2 linked regions of the Rhinolophus ferrumequinum genome follow. The protein of the gene in region 1 purifies or fractionates together with the protein of each later gene. This does not show direct contact. Links are inferred from orthologs where the notes say so. Each region holds a gene or a part of one and is shown on either strand. Other genes may lie near its edges.

Region 1 (10,149 bases):
ACCACTGGTTTTCTGCCGAGGCAGTTCACACTCTAATCCAGAAGATAGGGATAGTGTCTATACGGTTAAGAACACGAACACTATCCTATCTATCCACCAGATGGACGCTTTTCAAACTCTTTTGACCATGACCCAGAGTCAGGACATGGCCCAACACAAACACACCTCAGGTAACTGCAACAAGTTTTACAAATCCCTCCTCACCCTGGTCCCCTTAAGGCTGGTCAAACCTAGATGGATGTCATCCCTCACCGCTGGGTATGTTGTGGTGCCTGCTGTGCATACGCACCACTGAGCACGACACGTGGAGAGGGCAGGAGAGCAGGAGCTCAGAAACTGCGAGAGTGGGCAAGAGGGAGCTGGGAGGCATGGCCCCCACACCTGCCGAGTATCACTTGGGACAGGCACTCCCAGCCACCCAAAGACCAACTCTGGGCTGAGCAAGGTTCCAGGCAATGGGCACCTAGCAGAGAACAAAGTCCCTGCCTGGTGGGACTGAGAACTGAGGGACAGAGACAAGCACATACACAAATGTGACATGACATCATGTGGGGGTAGAAGTGCTATGAGAAAATGATCAAGCAGTTTAGTTGATGGAAGGTGCTCTTTCAATCATGGTGGCCAGGAATGGTCTCAGTGATGGGGACATATCTGAGCAGAGACCTGAAGTGAAAGGGGAGTCACATGGCTATCTATGGGTAGAGGGACCAGCGAGTGCAAAGGCCCTGGGGTGGGACCTGGGGGCAAGGGGTGTGTGGCAGATGAGGTCGGAGATGGGAAGGAGAGCAGATCGCAGGCCTTGAAGGCAGTGGTCAGGAAGGAGTCTTACTCCAGGTGCAATGGGAAACCACTGGAATATTCTGGGCAGGGCAGTGGCTCGATCTGATGATGGTTTTAGATTTCTCTGGACAGGCTAATGGAACAGATGTGGGGCATGTGGGGCGAGGGGGGTCAAGGACGAGCAAGGTGACCCTGCAGAAATGGCTTATTCCTGAGACTTGGGGCTGCTCAGCCCTGACGCCAAGCTTGGCAAAGCCCAGCCAGGCTAGATTTCAGCCCCAACTCACATCCCTTTCGTTCAATACTGACAAGTGGGGAGACTACGGGAGTTCAGGATTGTATGGTCAGAGAGGTTAAGTCATTTGCCCCAAATCACACAGGAAGTAGAATCCTGCCTCAAGTATGACTGCAAGGTCTGAGTAACTGATTCAGGCTGAGATCAGAAGGCAGAGAGCCTGGCAGGATGTGGGGTGCAGGCAAAGGGAAGCCCTCCTACAGGCAGGAGCACGTAGGGGGTAATCTGTGGGGATGGGCAAAGGCACTCAGCACACCTGCAGCCCAGGCTGCGATGAGTGGTCACCAGGGCCAGATGCAGCTCGCAGGGTGCAGTGAGTGTCACCATTAGGACCGTGATACTTTACTGGAACACTCCGGGCAAGTCAGGATGGCACACTTCAAACCCTGCCGCCTCAAGTCTCAGACTGTCACAGGTGAAGCAGCAACTGTCATGTGGCCACCTGCTTCCTGAGCCAGTGGGGCTGACCTGCTGGCTAAAGAGGAATTTAAAGCAGCCCAAGGAGACATTTTAAAGGCCACTGCTACTAAAACTGGGGTCCATCCTCCTTGATCACACTCACAGTTGGTGAACTTCACACTGAACAAAACTCACTGTTCTCAGTAAAATGCAAAAATGAAGACGTGCCCCTTCAACAAAGTAAATGAGTCCCGAAGTAAAGCTCTGGAAACAAATCTGGGTGCAAAGGCCAGGAAGGGGCCAGGGCAGGTTTATGTCCTGTTAACACATCCCGTTTTCTAAAGAAAGCCCCTGCCCTGAGATAACTGGAGGGAAACCCATGCATCCCCTCCCTTCCTCTGCCTTGTGAAATCTAATCCCCCCACAAACCCAGCTCCACCTGGCGCTTCCCTCCAGGCCCTTTCCCACATAGGAAGATGAGCAGAGGCCAAATTTCCCATGTCTGTCAATTCCATATCCTGAAAAATTAGTAACAGCAGCGTGCAACTAGAGAACTCCAACTAAGGTATCACTGAGCATATTAATGAGCCTACTACTTCTTCGGGGTGACAGCTATAAGGTTGACAGCAACAGCAGCTCCATTGGCCTCAGACCCAATTCTGACATGTTGCTCCTCTGACATTTCCCCCCATATTCCTGCAGCTGTTACTTCCTTTTCATAGGTTTTCCACACCCCTTTTATTCTAATATTTTTTTAAAAACTTTGATTCGCTCTGAAGTGTTCCAATCAATGTTACAAGTTATGAGAAAATACGTGAACAATGAACATTTGATATCTTTCAAAAGCCATGCCACCAAACACACTTCCCTCTTTCTAGTGCCTTATGGTGAAACTGCAAAGCATACAAACTTTTAAGTATTAAGGACAAAATGAAGGAGTTGATGCCTTCGTTAACACCTTGAAAACATATGGAACTACTGCAAAGGGACAAAAATATATTCTGTACCCACCAAGGTATTGTAGGAATCTTCATAAATGACAACAGCTACCAATATGTGTCAGACACCTTTCTAAGCACTCTACATTTGTCATTTTGCTGTTGAGTCTGTAGCAATCCCCCGAGTTGGGTACTATTACTGCCCCCCTTTGCAAATAAGGAGATGGATCTGAGCGAAGCAGAACAGGGCCCCTGTGTGCCTGCTGCCGATGGAATCGCCAGCCCTAGCAGTGCCTGGCTCGTGGCAGGCACTCGGTGCACGTCTGTTCACTGTATGAATGGGACATGAGTGCTTAGGCCACTCTTGCACAACTCCATTCACAGTGTGTTCTATCTGTGGTCGGTGTGAATGGGTCCCTCTTGGACCAAGTCTTGCACAACTCCAGGAGGCACCTTTCACATTGTGTTTGGTCTACCGTCAATGTGAATAGGTCCCCTGTGCCATGGCAGCCCTGATGACCGAGGCCAAAATCAGCTGGCAAATCTGAGGACTTACTATGTGCCAGTAAGCTACTGTCAACCCCATTTCTCTGAGGCACCAAGAAAAAAAGTAGCAAAGCCTGGAGTCAAAACCAGGACGGCTGACTGGAGAGCCCCAGGTGAAGAAATAGCCCTGGATGTCAGTTTCTTCATTAGCAGAATGTTTTCACCAGCCATTCACCCAAAATACGGAGTTCCTCCCACCCTCTCACATGTGCTCTAGGGTTACCTCCCAGGGTTTTGAGGGTCCACAAGGAGTGGCAAAGGTATGTAAATAAAAATGTGTTTATGTGGGATGCTTTGCACAGACAGAAAAAACTTTGGAGACCACGGCACTGATGTCACCCACCCCCACCGGACTCAAACCCTGGAAGATCAATGTCTCCAGAAGAGTGAGACACAAAATGATTTTAGAGGGCACGAGGACAAACATTTGTTATTTTCACAATTATGTATGCATTGATTGTAAGGCAAATTAGTAAAATACATATAACTAGCTCACCATATGCCGGGTGCTGCAGTGTGTTAAGCAGCTTCAAACCGTGTTTCCCCGAAAATAAGACCTAGCCGGACAGTCAGCGCTAATGCGCCTTGTGGAGCAAAAATTAATATAAGACCCGGTCTTATTTTACTATAAGACCGGGTCTAATATAATATATACCGGGTCTTATATTAATTGTTGCTCCACAAGGCGCATTAGCGCTGACTGTCCGGCTAGGTCTTATTTTCGGGGAAACACGGTATGTTACCTCATTCAATCCTCACAACCACCGTTTGAGGTGGCATCACTGTCATGCCTGTTTCACAAGTTGGGGGGGACCCACTGATAAGTACCTTGCTCAAGGTCAAGCTAAGATTTAGAATCCAGGAGGTCTGATTCCAGAACAGCACTCCTCACCACCATTCCACACTAACTACCAACCCACACCCTCCTTCTGGGGGAATGAGGTTTGGGAAACAATAGCCTAGAAAGTTAAAAACCAACAACAACTAAAATGTTTCCTGCTTACAACCCACCACTAATCAGTCCTGTACCAAGCATTTCACGCACATGTTCACTCAATCCTCCCAAGGGCCCTTCACTCATTGCACAAACGTTTTGCTAAGGGCCTACCATGTGCCAGGCCCAAAGAACACTGCGGGAGACAGCACCCTACTCTGATGGCCCTCAGAGAAGACTGGATGTGGAATTACAACCCGGAGTGAACGTCTACACAGGAAAGGACCAAGGCAACGTGCGAGTGTAGCAGAGGGAACAATGACTATTACAGGGCAGTCAAAAGCCAAGCCTGGACATCCTCCCTGACTCGAGTAGAGGCCCCCTCTTCCAGGCAGCCTCCTTGATCTCAGGCTCCAGCTACTCCCCTGGGTATCCACTGTGTTCCTTTCACAGTAAGAGTTGTGAGGATTAAATGAAAGGCCAAGGGGAGTAGTTCCCACATTTACCACCTGTTCTCCTACAAGACTGGAGAGGCTCCTCAGGGCATCCAACCACCAACCATCTGACACCCAGTTAGGGACTCAATGGATATTTGCTGAACAATGAAGAAGGAGATTGAACCAGACAGTAACAACAGGGCTTCTCACTTCCCAGGAACCATTTTTCAGGTTTTCACCAGCTCCATTTGTGACATTATTCCCATTTCACAAAGGAGGAATCTAAGAGGTACAGAGATTAAACTATTTGCCTAAAGTCACACAGCTAAGTGACTGACAGCGCCAGCAATGAAACCCTAATTCCGTCTGTCAATTCAAACTGAAAACTTGTTTCAAATTCCTGGGAAGTGGCTCTTACACTTATTTATTCCCTACTTTTCCAAGGATTCACTGGGAGAAAAAAATAAAAATCAAGACTGGTGTCTTCAAGACCGTCAAAACACTCTCTTAAAGGACCATGTTTTAAATAAAAGCCTTCATCTGGAAAATCAATTGGGAGGAAGGGAAAAGGATGCAAAACAAATACAATGCTTTCAACAGCAAACAGTGCCGGTCCTCCTCCACTTGCTGTCGACCACTCAGGGCAAACATTTTGAAGTCACTACTTGCAAGGGATGGGCCAAGTCATTTACCTTTCCTTGAAAACCTAGAATAAGTGATTTTTAAAATAAAATCTTAGGTCGGCTAACCCAGGGGTGCTGCCAGGAGGCACTGGACACATCTGGGTTTTTTCTTACGGAGCCTCGATCACAGCCTCCCTAAAGGGCAATATTCGGTTCGGACCTTTTACAACATAGCCAGAAAATCCCCGAAGCCCGGCTATTGTTGCAGCCGCCGCAGAGACCCCTGGCCCGCCAAGGGGGCAGCAAGCTTTGTCCCGCGACCCTGGCGAGAGCGCGCGCGGGGGTCGCGCGGCCTCCACGCGGCCCGGGCCCCCACCCCACCCGCCCGCGCGGATGCTACAGCCGCCGCGGCCTCGCTACACTGTGGCTTTCCCCGCGCGCGCGGTGCCGGACGGGCTTCTTGACCCTCGGGCGCCGCCGTACCCCAGCCCTGCTCTGGGCGCCAGTGGCCCCCTCCCCCCTCGGCCCCCCGGCTCCATTCAAACCACCCTCCCAAGCCCCGCGCGGCGCTCCCCCCGCGGCCCGCGTTCCTTACCGGGAGCCGCCGGCACCGCCGCCTTCCCGGCACCGCCCCCGACCCTCCGAGCGGGGCCGGAGGCAGAGTAAGCTTCTCGCCTCTCCTCACGAAACAAAGAAGCCGCCGCCGCCACCGAGCGAGAGTAAGCCTCGTGCGCGCGCCCGCCTCGGCCGCCCCCCCACGCCTCCCGCGTCCCCGCTGCGCGCGCACTCACCGGCTTCCTCCCCCCCACGGACGGCCTCTCTCGCTTCCGCCGCCCGCCCGGCCTCGTGCGCGCGCCCGCCCGCCCTTCCGCTTCCAGCGCGCGTGCGCGTGGGACGAGGGCTAGGGGAGGTGGGCCGGACCAGAGAGAGCGTACGCGCCCGACGCACCTCCCACCGATTTCCAGGAAGGTCCTGCGCTTGCGCACAGGCGTCTTCTTCTTCCGCACGTCGCGCGTCCCGACGCCGCCGAGCGTGCGCAGAGCGGGCGCCACTGCGGCGGTGGTGGCGGCGGCGACGGCACGTTGGGGGATGGGACGGGGAGGCGGTGGCGTCTGCAGGGAAGGGATGGCCGAGTGGTCGTGATAGTCGGAATGAGGACCTGAGGCCCTGTGCGTGAAGCTGGACTGAGGTTGAGCAAAGTCGGCCAAGCGCGGGCCTGAGAATCGCTTTCATCCCTGGTAGGGGGATGGCGGGGCCTGTTGCGAAGCCAGGTGGGCCCCCACCATACCTGTCTTTTCTGCCTACCTAGTTCTATTAATTAGTTTAGCAAATATTTATTAACCTGCTCCTGTGTCCCAGGCGCAAGTGCAGCGGCACAGAACAGACAAAAATCTCAGACCGCTGTGGTGCTCACGGTCTAGTAAGGGAGGCAAGTGAGAGACAAGAGAAATAAGTAAAATACGTTGTGTTGAGACAGAGACATCTTGGGTCGTGAACATTTTAAATGGGACAGCCAGGGAAGGGCCCGATGCGAAGAAGACATTTGAGTCGACATCAAAGCAGTGAGAGAGCCTTGTTCCTAGTGTGAAGGCCCAGAACTCTAGGCGGCCTCTTCTGTGTTCTGAAAGTATCTCCAGTGCCACCTCATTTAGTCCCCCAACTGGACAAACGCTCCCCAAGGTCAGGTTCCACAGCCCGTGACTCTCCCCACCTTGCCTCTTTATCCTGCTCTTCATTTTTTAGGTGTCAGCTGATTCACCAACTCAAGCCTCGCCTCCTTTTTGACCACTGACTCCTTTTCCCTTCACATTTCTTGGGTACCCTCTTTTCTGCTGTCTGTCTCCCTTCCCTCAATTTAAATGACAAAGAAGTTAATTTTAGTCATTAGTGAATACCCAGCATCGCTAGCATGCTTTGTAGCGTAGAGTAGAAGAGGAGATCGCACACTGGAATCAGAAAGACCTGGATTTAAAACCTGACTCTATGTTAGTAGCTGGTGGGTGCCAGGCAAGTTTATTGGACTCATGTACACTACCCTTTCTTCACCTGTAAAATGGAAATAATAATGGCGCCCATCTCCACAGGCTGGTTATGAGGAGTCCATATGCAGGTCACCTTGGAGTTCCCTAAACCTTACCTCGTAATGTTGAGTAATACACAGTAAATGGGCAAGTGGGGTCTCCACATCGATCTTTAAGTAATATTTTTAAGCACCCTCAACATGCTAAGCACTGAGCTGATCGGGCCTGCAGTGATCACACTGGAAAGGCAGGGCTCCTGCCCATGGAGCGGACAGTCAATGAGTTCAGTTGACAGTCTCCCATACTGATCACACTAATACGTGATAGAAAACTCGAAATGCAACGGAAGAAAAGCCTAGGGTGTGATGAGGTCATGACATGGGATCTTCCTGGGATGGAGAAGTCAGGTAGACTTCTCTGAGGGAGAGGTACGTATGTCAAAATCCAAAGGATGAGCAAGAGCAAAGAGGAGGATGACACTAGAGAGGAAACAGGATGTGCCAAAGCCCTGAGGAGGAAAAGAGTGTGGGAACAGAAAAAGGCCCAAGGGGGCTTGAGGGGGAGGTGAGTAGCAGCCATACCAGATAGGGCCTTGTGGGCTTTGGTGAGCATCTTCAGCTTTTTCTGGAGCACAGTGGGAAGCAGTTGAAGGGCTTTAATCAGGAGAACCCCATGGCTGTTCTGGCTGCTGGGTGGAGACTTGGCCAGCAGGTAAGGAGAGGAAGTGGGGAGTCCCTTTAGGCCATAGCAGTGGCCCAGAGTAGAGAAAGTGGTGGCTTGCACTAGTGTGAAGGTGGAAGAGGTACAGAGAGTTGGAGGAAGAATAGATAGAAATTGGAAGAGTGGAAGGAGGAAGAGATAAAGGAGGGTCAAGAGTGAATTCCCAGCTTTCTCTGCAACTGGGATGATGGGGACATGGAAACTCTGGCAAGAAAGGGTCAGGAGTCCTGTTTGAAGGATACGATATCTGTTGGGAACAATCCTGTATACCAGTGGTTCATGACTGTACATTGGAATCCGGGTTAAGCAAAATGGATGTCTTGTGTGTGTGTGTGTGTGTGTGTGTGTGTGTGTGTGTGTGTACAACATATATATATGTGTGTGTGTGTGTGTGTGTGTGTGTGATTTTATTGGAGAAGGGAAACAGGACTTTATTGGGGAACAGTGTGTATTTCCAGGACTTTTTATTGGGGAACAGTAGTGTTTTTCCCAGGACTCATCAGCTCCATCCAAGTCAAGTTGTCCTTTCAGTCTTAGTTGTGGAGGGCACAGCTCATCTCCAGGTCCAGTTGCCATTGTTAGTTGCAGGGGGCGCAGCCCACCATCCCTTGTGGATGTTGAACCAGCAACCACAGAGCCCGCGCTCCAACCAACTGAGCCATCTGGGAGCTTGGGGGCAGCTCAGCTCAAGGTGCCGTGTTCAATCTTAGTTGCAGGGGGCGCAGCCCACGATCCCTTGGAGGGAGTCGAGGAGGAGTCGAACCGACAACCTTGTGGTTGAGAGCCCACGCACCAACCAGCTGAGCCATCTGGCCACCCGGGAGCTGAGCAGCAGCTCATTTACTTCATTCTAGTTGGAAGCGCAGCTCACTGGCTCATGTGTGAATTGAATCGGCAGCCCCGTTGCCCAGAGCTCGTGATCTAACCAACTGAGCCACCCGTCTGCCCCATACTGGCCTTTTAATAATGACCTGTCCCAGGATTCAGACCTTCGTCCTCTCTCTACATTCACCCCTTTGGCTTCCAGTCTTGTGACATGAAAAAACTATCTACTTCCTTGGTAGTATCTACCCAAAGGAATTGAAAACATGTACTCATGTACTCAGATACTCGTAAACAAATGTTTATTGCTACTACACTATTCACAATAGCTGAGATGGAAACAGGAAACAATTTAAATGTTCCTCAACAAATAAATGGATAAACAAGTTGTGTTATATATTCAATGGAATATTTAGCCATAAAAAGTAATGTAGTCCTAAAACATACTACAATGTGGATGAACCTTAAAACATGCTAAGCGAAAGAAGTCAGACACAAAGGGCCACACAGTGTATGAATCTATTTCAAATGTTTAGAATAGGCAAATCTATGGAGACAGCAGATTGCCAGGGGCGGAGTGTAGTAGAGGGCGTAACTGCTTAGTGGATAAAGGGTTTTATTTTGGGACAATGAAAATATTTTGGAACTAGATAGAGGTGGTGCTTACACAATATTGTGAATGTACTAAATGCTACAAAATCGTTCAGTTTAAAATATTCAGTTTTGTTACATGAATCTTTTAGAAAAGTGTCTACATGCTAATGATTTCCAAATGTTTATTTCCTGCCTCGACCTCACCCTCGAGCTCCAGAAAATGACCTCTCAGACACCACCACTTGAGTATTATATAGGAGCTAAAATTTCAGTTCCATCATGTCCCTCTTTTGCTCAAAATCCCCCAATGGCTCCCATCTTTCCAAGAATAAAAGGCAAAGACCATCAAGAGAAAGAGAAGGCAAACCACAGGCTGGGAGAGAGCGAATGAGAAGACACGTGAAAAAGAACTGTTACCAAATACACAAAGAACTCTTAAAACTCCACAATAAGAAAATGAACCCAATTTAAAGATGGACAAACCTGAACAGACACCTCACCAAAGATGATACAAAGATGGCAAATAAGCATATGAAGAGGTGTTGAACATCCTGTGTCATTAGGGAATTGCAAATTAAAGCAACAGTGAGATACCACTGCACACCTATCAGAATGGGAGAAATCCAAGACTCTTGAAACACCAAATGCTGGAGAGGATGTGGAGGAACTCTTAGTCGTTCCTCGTGGGAGTGCAAAATGGTTCAGCCACTTTGGAAGATAGCTTGGCAGTTTCTTACAAAACTAAACATACTCTTACCATGTGACCCAGCAATCATGCACCTTGGTGCTTCCCCAAAGGAGCTGAAAACAGATGTCCACACCAAAACCTGCAAATGGATGTTTATAGCAGCTTCAATTACAATTGCCCAAACTTGGAAATGATCAAGAAATCCTTCAGAAGGTGAATGGATAAACTGTGGTACATCCAGACAATGGAATATTATTCAGCACTAAAAAAGAAACGAGCTATCAAGTCATAAAAACTTGGAGGAACCTTAAATACATATTACTAAGTGAAAGAAAGCAATCTGGGCAGGTTT
Region 2 (9,822 bases), on another chromosome or scaffold:
AAGATCAGTTCCAGATTAAATTATACTCAAGACACTTGATAACTAAATGCAGTATCTTATCTTGAGAGCAGACCAGTGAGATCCCTAAAAGACAAATATGTCCCAAAATGATCGCGAGCATATTCTAGAGCCGTGTTGTCCAAATGGTAACCACTAGATACACTGAAATGTGGCTAGTGCAAAATGATATTATTAGATTAAGATGCACACTGGACTTCAAAGATTTAGTATGAAACAAAAGAATGTAAACTATCATTAATGTTTTATTTTGATTACATATTGAAGTGGTATTATTTTGGAAATGATGAGTTAAAGTATATTATTAAAATTACTTTCTCCTGTGTCTGTTTCCTTGTTCAATGTGTCTACTAGCAAATGTAAAACTACCTATGTGGCTCGCAATATAGAGAGGGTGCCAAAAAAATGTATACACGTTTTAAGAAAGGAAAAAACTGTATTAAGATTGTAATAATATATATCGATAACAAAAGATGAATACAAATCATGTGTATACATGTTTTTGGCCCCCCTCGTATTTCTACTGGATGGTGCTGTTTTAGAGACTTTTGGTAAAATGTTCTACTTGTCCCACTCCATCAGATTCTATTAAGGGATGCTGTTTTCTTCAGACATATTACTTCAAATTAACAAGTTTAGTTCTTATGAATGATGACCAATTCTCTATTTATTAGATAGGAGTTTTGCTTTCTCAATCACATACATAGATATAACTAAACATCCTATCTATGTGAAGATCTAACTTTTCCACAAATCAGATTATACACAAATTTGAAGTCATTATTTTATAATGCAAGAAGTATAAAAAACAATTAATACCCACTCCATCCCAAAGAAAATTTTCTTTTGTAAAAATCAAGAAAGGTCACACAAAAAATTGTACACTAATGTTCATAGTAGCATTATTCATAATAGCCAATGAAAACAAACCCAAATGTCCATCACTGATGAATAAATAAAATGTAGCATAGCTATACAATGGAAGATTCAGCAATAAAAAGAAAGTCCTAATACATGTTTCAGCATGGATGAATCTTGAAAATATGCTAAGACAAAGCAGTCAAAAAAGACCACATATTGTATGAATCTATTTATATGAAATGTCCACAACAGGCAAATCTACACAGACAGAAAAATTGGTGATTGTCAAGGGGTGAGGAATTAGGTGGTAGAAATGGGGAGTCACTGCTGATGTGTATATAGTTTCTTGACGGGATAACGAAAATGTTCTAAAATTGATTGAAATGATGGTAGTACAACTTATCAATATTCTAAAACACTTGAATTATACACTTTAAAATGGGTAAATTGTATGGTATGTGAATTATATCTCAATAAAGCTGCTATTAAAAAGTTAACACAAAATGAAATTTAAATTTCAACACAAAAAATGAAAATTAAAAGAAAATTTTCATATCAATCTTACTGAGAACACTCTGAGGTCTTTCCTTTATTCTGATAGTCCATTATACATTGAATAAGATGGTTATTTTCATCCAACATCTGAAATAAAATTGGAAAAAGTTTATTGTAAATCTAGTGTTATCAAGTAAAATTTTTAAAAGACCTTCAAATTTCTAGAAATATTTATCTATACAGAAACTGAATCCACTCAGATCTTTTAAATCTTATTTCACACCTCTGGAATGTCATGTTTAATCAACAATTTTTAGATAACTCTATTCCAATTATGCTCCCTTTTAGTTATTACCTGCAGCCCTGAAGGAAAAATTTGAAGTTTCTTTTGTATTCAAACACTTAATTACCCCTGCTATATATGTAATAGAAGCTTTAGTCTGTTAAGACTAACTGTTGAGTCCAAGTTAGCTTTCTATCATTCTAATGCTTTTTAGTAGTAAAGAAAATTGTCCTTATCCAGAATGAAGTAAATACATAAAAACTTCAGCCCAGGAAGCTTGCCAGAATGAAGTAAATACATAAAAACTTCAGCCCAGGAAGCTTGAGGAGATAGCTGGCCAGTTTCCAAGTTTTACACAGTATGGTTTTGTGATTCTCCAAACATGAAATAATCAAATACAATAATTTCTACTTATGTATAATAAATTTATTGCAGACTTACCTTATAATTCAGTTGTCCCAAAAGTGTAAAAACAAAAGCATACCTATTTATCACTCTATCATGTTATTACAATTTAAAGCAGTATTGGTTTTAAGGATTAAATAATTCATCTAAGCAAAGTGACATTGAGAAAAGAATACTCATGTATTAATAGCAATTAAAAGGCCAGTTAGCTTTAGTGCCACCTTTGCTATCCCATGCAAACCACTTAAAATTTCAGATTTATCTGAAAGATCAAGGGACAGGAGTAGCTGTTCCCCCTGTACTTGCCCCATCCCTCCGGGCAAGTACAGGAGGAACAACGAATGAAGTAGAATACCATAATCACTCTATCTCAATAATTTAGTTAATATAACTCAATTAAAAACGAAGATCCATTTAACAGTAACTGTGTCTTTTTTCTGCATATGAATCATAATCTTAACTTGCTGGAAAAAAATATTAACTGTTAATTTCTTAAATAGACTCACTAGATGCCAAAAAAAATTGTCCTTATAATGCATTAGTACAATCAAACCATTTCACAACGTATCTTCTCAGTAGATCTCTCAGCCTAACAAACTGTATCGTTAGAATGTCTCATATCTAAAATTAATCCCTCACACTGTAAAACGAGGCACTTGATTTGGAATCCACTTTCCCTTCTCATCTGAAGATGACAACTAATTGATCAACATCTCCTGAATTAATCACCCATGAGAAATACCTTAAGAAAAACTGTAGAAAAAAAGAAAAACTCAGGAATTTCCTACAGTCCAAAAATAAAAAGTGAATCCCTCCCCCCCCAAAAAAAAAAAGTTTTTGAGTGTGTTCTTGGAGCTGTTCGCCACACTGCAGACTTAGCCCAATGCACTATATGAAAATACAGCACCCAAGCACTGCCAAGCCGGTTTGCTCATAAAATAAAGTCAGTTAGGCAAATCAACGTCAAATGGCACACTACAAAGAACCTGACAGTAAACAGAAACTGATGAACAAATCTATTGGGCATAGGATGTAGTAGTAATACATACGATGTTGCCCTTAGTACTAAAAACTCACCTTTCTTCAATTTTCATCCCTACTCCAGTGCATAAAACAAAATCGAAATATTTAAGGTAAACTACGAAGTTTAGCAAGTAACTTTTCAAAGTCTGGCTGAGTAAATTTTAGAATGCTGCTTTGCTCATAAGGCAACAAGAGTAGAAGACAATAAAGAACCTTTGTGTCCCTAATTGGCAGTAACACGGCAACAAGAGACAGTACTACTCTCTAAAAGGGAGGCGGCTCCCAGTGTATTTATCACGACTTCCGTAATTGGTTATAATTATCATTGTCTCTACCACTAGACTGTAAACTCCATGAAGGCAGGGTCCATGGCTCACCACTGTAGCCTCAGAGCCTAGACATGGCGCTCAATGAAATTTGCTGGAGACGCAAACGGATGTGGGGTGAATCCGGAATGGAGAAGGGGACTCCGAGGTTAACCCTGAAGTCCAGAGGGCTCTCCCTCGCCTACCCTTCTGATTCTATGAAGGCTCCCTGTAGCGTCCCCCAAGTTCTCGGAGTTCCGCAACTCGGCTGGAGTTTGCAGCACCGCGGAGGGCGGCGACTTCGCCTCGGCCTCCCGCGACCCGAGATCGGGTCTACACTAAGCAGCCACGGAGCGCTGGGCGGGGCGACGCTAAAGTAACTCCGGAGCGACGCGCGGGGCCGCGGGGGGCGCCGGCTGTAACAGCCCTTGCCCCGCGCGATCAGCGCCGCCGGGCGCACGCGCCCCGCAGCCCGAACGCCGCCCCATCCCTAGAGAAATCCGGCGGCGGTTACTTGGGCTTTTGTGCCTGTAGGAAAGAGGCCCAACGTGCCAAGGACTCGGTGAGAGAACCAGTTCGCCGTCTTCCGCCACCCACTCAGGCACAGCCCGTGGCTCGGGTTGCCACACCGCCGCCTCCCAGCAGGCCCGCCTCCGCCCCCGGCCCGACCGACTGTCGGCCCGGCCCCCGGGGGTCTCTCCCAAAGGCGGGATGGGCCTGGCATCCCCGTCCCCGCGAGGTTTCACCTTCTGAATTGCGGCGGGAGTGATCTCCCCCTTGCCTCGCTGCCTCGGGGCTGCGAACGCCACAGACATGTTGCCGCCGTCACCACTATCGGCAAGTCCCGAGCGCACCGGTGAACAGCAAACTGGGGGAAAGACGCCGGCCTCTCGGGCTGAACCACTTCGGGAATGCGGGGTGGGGGGATGCTCCAATGTCGAACAAACAGGAGGCCTGCCTGGCCTAAAGGAGGAACTCTGGCCCACACACGTCCTCTTTCGAATGTTATTTGAGAATCTAAGCCCCCATGGAACTTCTCAGTTTTTGATCGACCTCTCGTCCTTCTACCTTTCCTTTCATGGCCCCCAGTCTCTTTGCGCTAATGGTAGGACCGCGCCCCAGCCCTCCCTCCGCTTCTGCGATTCAGGAAATGGTCCCGCCGCCACGGGAGAGTGAGAGGCTGGGGCAGCGCCTGTCACAGGAAATGCGAGTGGCCCGAACTGGCCCGCCCCTTTCACGCGGGTGCAAGTTGCCTCCCTCCTCGGCGCGCTGAAATGTCCCTCAAACTGCGTTTCGGCGCTGTTGTTGATCTAGTTCAATTTTTCCAACTTTATCCTCACCCCTCCTCGAGTTGTCTAGGCACCCCGGATAGGGGAGGAAGAAGGTCAGGACACGGGAATCCGTGCAAACCGCTGGAGCATCTGCTGACATGAGGTAGAGGTGGAGGACTAGGTGAACGCGGATTCGCTAGTTTAAACGGCTCGGCTACGCCCCAAATGCGCACCTCTGAGTCCACAGTCTTGCACGCGCACACGTCGTCACTAACAATTGGAAGCGAGCCTGATTCAAAATCGGGAAACAGGGCTGTGTCCAGTACTCAGAGGCAGTCGGCCAACTTGGCTAGCGTACCAGGGGAGGAGTTCGCTGCTTGGGACAAACCCTTAGAAACGTCGGGTCGAGTTCGTCTGACTTGGATTTTTCGAATTAAGTTTTGAAATAGGGAACCCTCACTCTTTTCCAATTACATACTTAGTGCCTTGTAAATTAGGTCCAAGCTGCCAGGCTTCAACTCTGTTAGGAAGAAAAACAACAAAGCTCTCCAATTATGTAAGGACGATGGGCAAATGTGGGTTATGTGTTGGTGTGAGGTTTTTTAAATTATTCTGTAAATTTACATTTCCACCTAATACAAAGGAAAAGTTTATATAAAATGTCACCCCAAATTAACGAGGCTCAAAATCAATCCCTCAGTTTATATATAAACTGAAAAAATAAAGAAAAAATTTATAAAGTTTTTTGTTTCAAATAAATGCTCTCCACAAAAAGGTCATAAGTTTCATTCAGCACATTAGGGTGCGTTCTACCTATGGGCTTTATCCTAGGCACCTAGGATACAACTGTGGACAAGTTCAATATGGGAGCTGCTCTCAAGGAGCTTATATTCTGGTAGGGCTGACAGACTAAAACCAAATAAACAAATATGCTATATGTAAAGTTCTAAGAAAGACTAGCAAACAAGGAACTGAGAACAGACAGGGACACTCAATGTGAGTTAGGATGGGAAGTCTTCTGCTATATTTAAACAAAGACCTAACGTGAAAAAAATTCGAGCCATCCTATGAATAAAGGGAAGAGAATTTATACTTCTACTAATGGTAATTATTCTTAAGAATTTAATTGCCTTTCACTACTCTAAGCCCTGGGGGGGGGGGGGAAACAACTCTGGTATATTTGAATTTAATGTAATCTCATGTTGGAAAAATTTCTCATGAACTCAGAAACTAAGTCTCGTCCACCACAAACACTGTATGTTCAACACCTGGCTTTTATCATCATCTTGATATTTACATAAAAGTACCTAAGTAGTTAAGAACAATATTTCAGTGGGAAAAATGACAAATTGTCCTACTGCTCCAGTTGTATCTGCTTGGCAGATAGCAATGAAATCTTAAAGAGCAACATGAACCAGTAGGAATAGTCTGAATTTCTATAGCTCGGTTAAAAAAAAAAAAGTGCTAAGGGGACTTCTATTCCAAGGAGGTACCCAGGAGATACTTTCTTTGTTTACATTACAGCTCCCCAACAACAGGAAAGGATATCAACTAAAAATGGGTAATAGGTCAGCCCAAGGCGCTTATTCCTTCACAGTAGCTGGGTAGGACCTAGGGCACTGACAGGCTAGACTTGAGGCATGCATAACCAGTCTTTTCTGTGATACCATGTGTTTTCTATGTATCTGTCACATGAAATCGGTTGGGAAGCATTGGAATAAAGGTCCAGCCAGAAATACAAATCATCTCCCTTAGAGAAGACACTTTAATAGGACACTACCTTTCTCTCATGCTTCCTTCGTAAACACAGTTTAATGTGGAAAAGTAGAAAATTCAGAGAATGAGAGGGTAGATTGTAGCCTCGAGGAACTTTCTTAGATCTTTGTAACTGTAAGAGCCTTGAGTTAAGGAAAAGATAATTAAGGGCACTTAGTAAATCCTGCCTCACTTCATTAGTTTTGAAGAGAAAGGAATCCCAAGGTACAGATTTAGTGGTAGCAGAGTTGGGACGAAAAGGAAAATAAAGAGACCCCAGCATTTAGTTAAGAAAATGGAGAATAAAGATGGGAGGTTGGCCCAAGTCTGAGAAATGACTGCGGGAACTTAAAAAAGAGCTTACCCAGGCAACCATCGCCCCATCCAGAAACATCAGTCCCATTATTTAGGCTGTTCTGGATTGAGACATCTGACAGAGGAATTGAAGTCACACAAGGAAGAGGTGACGGTTTTTAAGAATAATCCTAATAGAAGAACATATACAGTGGCTCAGACTAAATAAAAGATCTGCATGAACAAATCTTGATTATTCATACCAATAAATATAGACACATTTAACTCAAAAAAGGTAGTAGGAAAATTGTCCATGTTTGATTTTCAATGTTTCAATTTTTAATTTGTTTTACATGAACTTGTTTGTATTCCTTAAATGCCTTTCATGGAACTGATGAAGTGCTCCAGGAATACGCTCAATATTTTGTGAAACTACATAATCATGGCATTAAAAATTATCTTAATCCACAAAAAACGTATTATGCATGTGCAGATAATTGAGATTACTTTCATACAAACATTTCTGTAATATTGTTTTATAATTAACAGAGCACACGGACTATCAAATTTGCTGATATTTTAAGCCCCTGTGCTGCCATAAATTCTTAGAATACATTTGGAAAGGCATTGACCAAGCCTGTCTGTTCATAAATGGGCTCAGAGCAAAACTCCTCAGGTAATTCAAACTATTTCTGCTCACCCTTTCCATGGCATTTGATGAGTCATTTTGAGTTGGCGCTTTAACAGATTTCAAAATTATAAGGCGACTATATAATATATATATTCATTATTCCAGGCAAGAACAAATCACCTTTCCCAATTCTCCATAAAACTTTTTCAATACTCCAGAAGATTTAATTCAAAGTAGACCATAACAAACCCTATTTAGTGCGTTTTCATCTCTTTTTACAGTATCAAACTTAGACTGAATTAAGGAGGAGCTGAATCAATTATATTTTGGTGTTTAATGTTATAGGATGGTATTGCTTTAAAAAAAATAGTTTCTATGTGAAGCTCTATGCAACCTTAATTCACTGAGAAATGCACAGGTTTGGAGTTCCCAGTTCTTCCACCAATGCAATGCTACTGGACAGGCCATTTCTATATTTCATTTGCCTTACAGAAAAACAACTGCCCTAAGGCTATTAGAAATAATAAGGTGTTTAATTACTGTTTATTTAGCATTTATTATATACAGCCACTGTGCTAAGTGATTATCTTACATTAGAGTCTTAAAGATTGTCCCAAATTTTAACATGTACAATATGTAAAAAAATACGTGGCACATTATAAATTGCTCAACAAGGATAAGATCTGTTCTTAATCTAATAAGGAGAAAAATATATACTTTAAGAGTAGAAATGTTCAAAAGTTCTTGATAGTGCAGTCTAGTGCAGTCTACCCTTGGGAAATTTTCTGGCTATAATTTAGAGATTAAGTGATCTTTTTCCAATTTAGCATGTTATCTGACCTTATGCATGATGTGTAGCTACTCTACCTTTAGCAAAAGAATATACTAACTGTTCTTGAACTGCTTCACAATTTACAGAGAGGATTATGATATACTAATTTCCCTATGAATTGTTAACTAATTTTCCTATGAATGGGTGCAGTAGGCAGAATAATTTCATCCTGACAAAGATGGCCACCTCCTAATCTGCAGAATCTGTGAATATGAGAGGTTACGTGGTAAAGTGGAATTCAGGTTCTAAATAGAATTAAGGCTGTTAGTTGGCTGACTTTAAAATATGGGGATTAACCAGGATCATCTGAGTGAGCTCAAAGTCATCACAAATATCCATAAATGAGGAACAGTGAGTTGAAGGGTCATAATCAGAATTATGGTATCTTGAGAAAGACTTGACTGGCTATTGCTGGCTTTGAAGATGGAAGGGGGTCATGAGACAAGGAATGTGGGTGGCTTCTAGAAGCTGGAAAAGACAAGGAAGTAGATTCTCCCCTAGAGCCTCCAGAGGGAACACCAACCTGCTAAAATCTTAATTATAACACAGTGAGGCCCATTTTGGACATCCTACCTCTAGAACTGTAAGATAATATGTGTTTCTTTAAGCTGTAAAATTTGTGATAACTTGTTAGAGCAGAAATAGGAAACTAATAAGATTGTTTTTTCCCATCTAACATTTATGGCTGAATTAGGCAATGTGCACTAAAATACTGATAAGTGATTCAATATTCAAACTACTGTTCTAATATATAGTAAACTAACCTAACAATCACATTTATTATACAGTTTCTTAAAAGAAAAATAATAGCATTATATTATAGTGCAGTCCTGTAGATACCATGATTTCAGCCTTGTGGCCTCCAGAATTGTAAGAAAATAAATTTATTTTAAGCCACCTAGATTGTGGTAATGTATTACGGCAGCCATTGGAAACTATAATAACACAGATGCCAAGATACTTCAATGGAGAAAGGACTGTTTTGAACAGATAGATATCCATGTTTTTAAAAATGAACTTTGACTTTTTCCTCACATATACACCAAAGTTAATTTAAAATAGATATACCTAAATGTAAAAAGTAAAACTTCTGCAAAAAAACAGAAAATCTTTATGACCTTGAGTTAAGCAAATGTTTCTTACATATGACACAAAAGCAAGAAGCATAAAAGAAAAATTTATAAATTGGATTTCATTAAAATTAAAAACTCTGCTCTTCAAAGGTATTATAAAAAAATGAAAAGTGAAGACATAGTCTAGGAGAAAACATATGAACTTATGAAACATGAAAACAAACAACTCATATCCAGAATACATTAATATAAAGAACACTTACAATAAGATAAACAACCCTATTAACAAAAATGGACAAAACATTTAAAGAAACTTCACAATGGTTATATATCAGTGGCCAATAAATACATGAAAAGTTGCTCTCTGTCATTAGTCATCATAGAAATGCAAATTAAAGCCACTTCAAGAAACCACTACACACCCACTAAAATGGCTAAAATTAAAAAGAGTGACATCATCAAGTTTTGGAGAGTATGTGGACCAACTGGAACATTCATACATTGCTAGTGGGGGTGCAAAATGACACAACCATTCTGGAAAACAACTAGTGATTATTATAAAGTTAAACATATACT

Evidence for each region.
Region 2: the proteins of SMARCA4 (region 1) and SS18 purify together in Homo sapiens (affinity purification with mass spectrometry; 8 studies listed by BioGRID and IntAct, counting the BioPlex papers as one, with this or other methods). This does not show direct contact. The link is inferred for Rhinolophus ferrumequinum from reciprocal best matches to the Homo sapiens genes SMARCA4 and SS18.

Annotation. Positions count from the first base shown.
Region 1 is NC_046301.1:39,449,247-39,459,395, forward strand, and holds the start of SMARCA4 (transcription activator BRG1), read right to left. Parts: upstream 5,890-10,149; 5' UTR 5,744-5,889; intron 5,723-5,743; exon of another isoform or gene 5,548-5,722; intron 1-5,547. UniProt on the Homo sapiens protein: ATPase involved in transcriptional activation and repression of select genes by chromatin remodeling (alteration of DNA-nucleosome topology).
Region 2 is NC_046302.1:22,093,537-22,103,358, forward strand, and holds the start of SS18 (protein SSXT), read right to left. Parts: upstream 4,292-9,822; 5' UTR 4,206-4,291; coding exon 4,137-4,205; intron 1,522-4,136; coding exon 1,445-1,521; intron 1-1,444. UniProt on the Homo sapiens protein: Appears to function synergistically with RBM14 as a transcriptional coactivator. Isoform 1 and isoform 2 function in nuclear receptor coactivation. Isoform 1 and isoform 2 function in general transcriptional coactivation.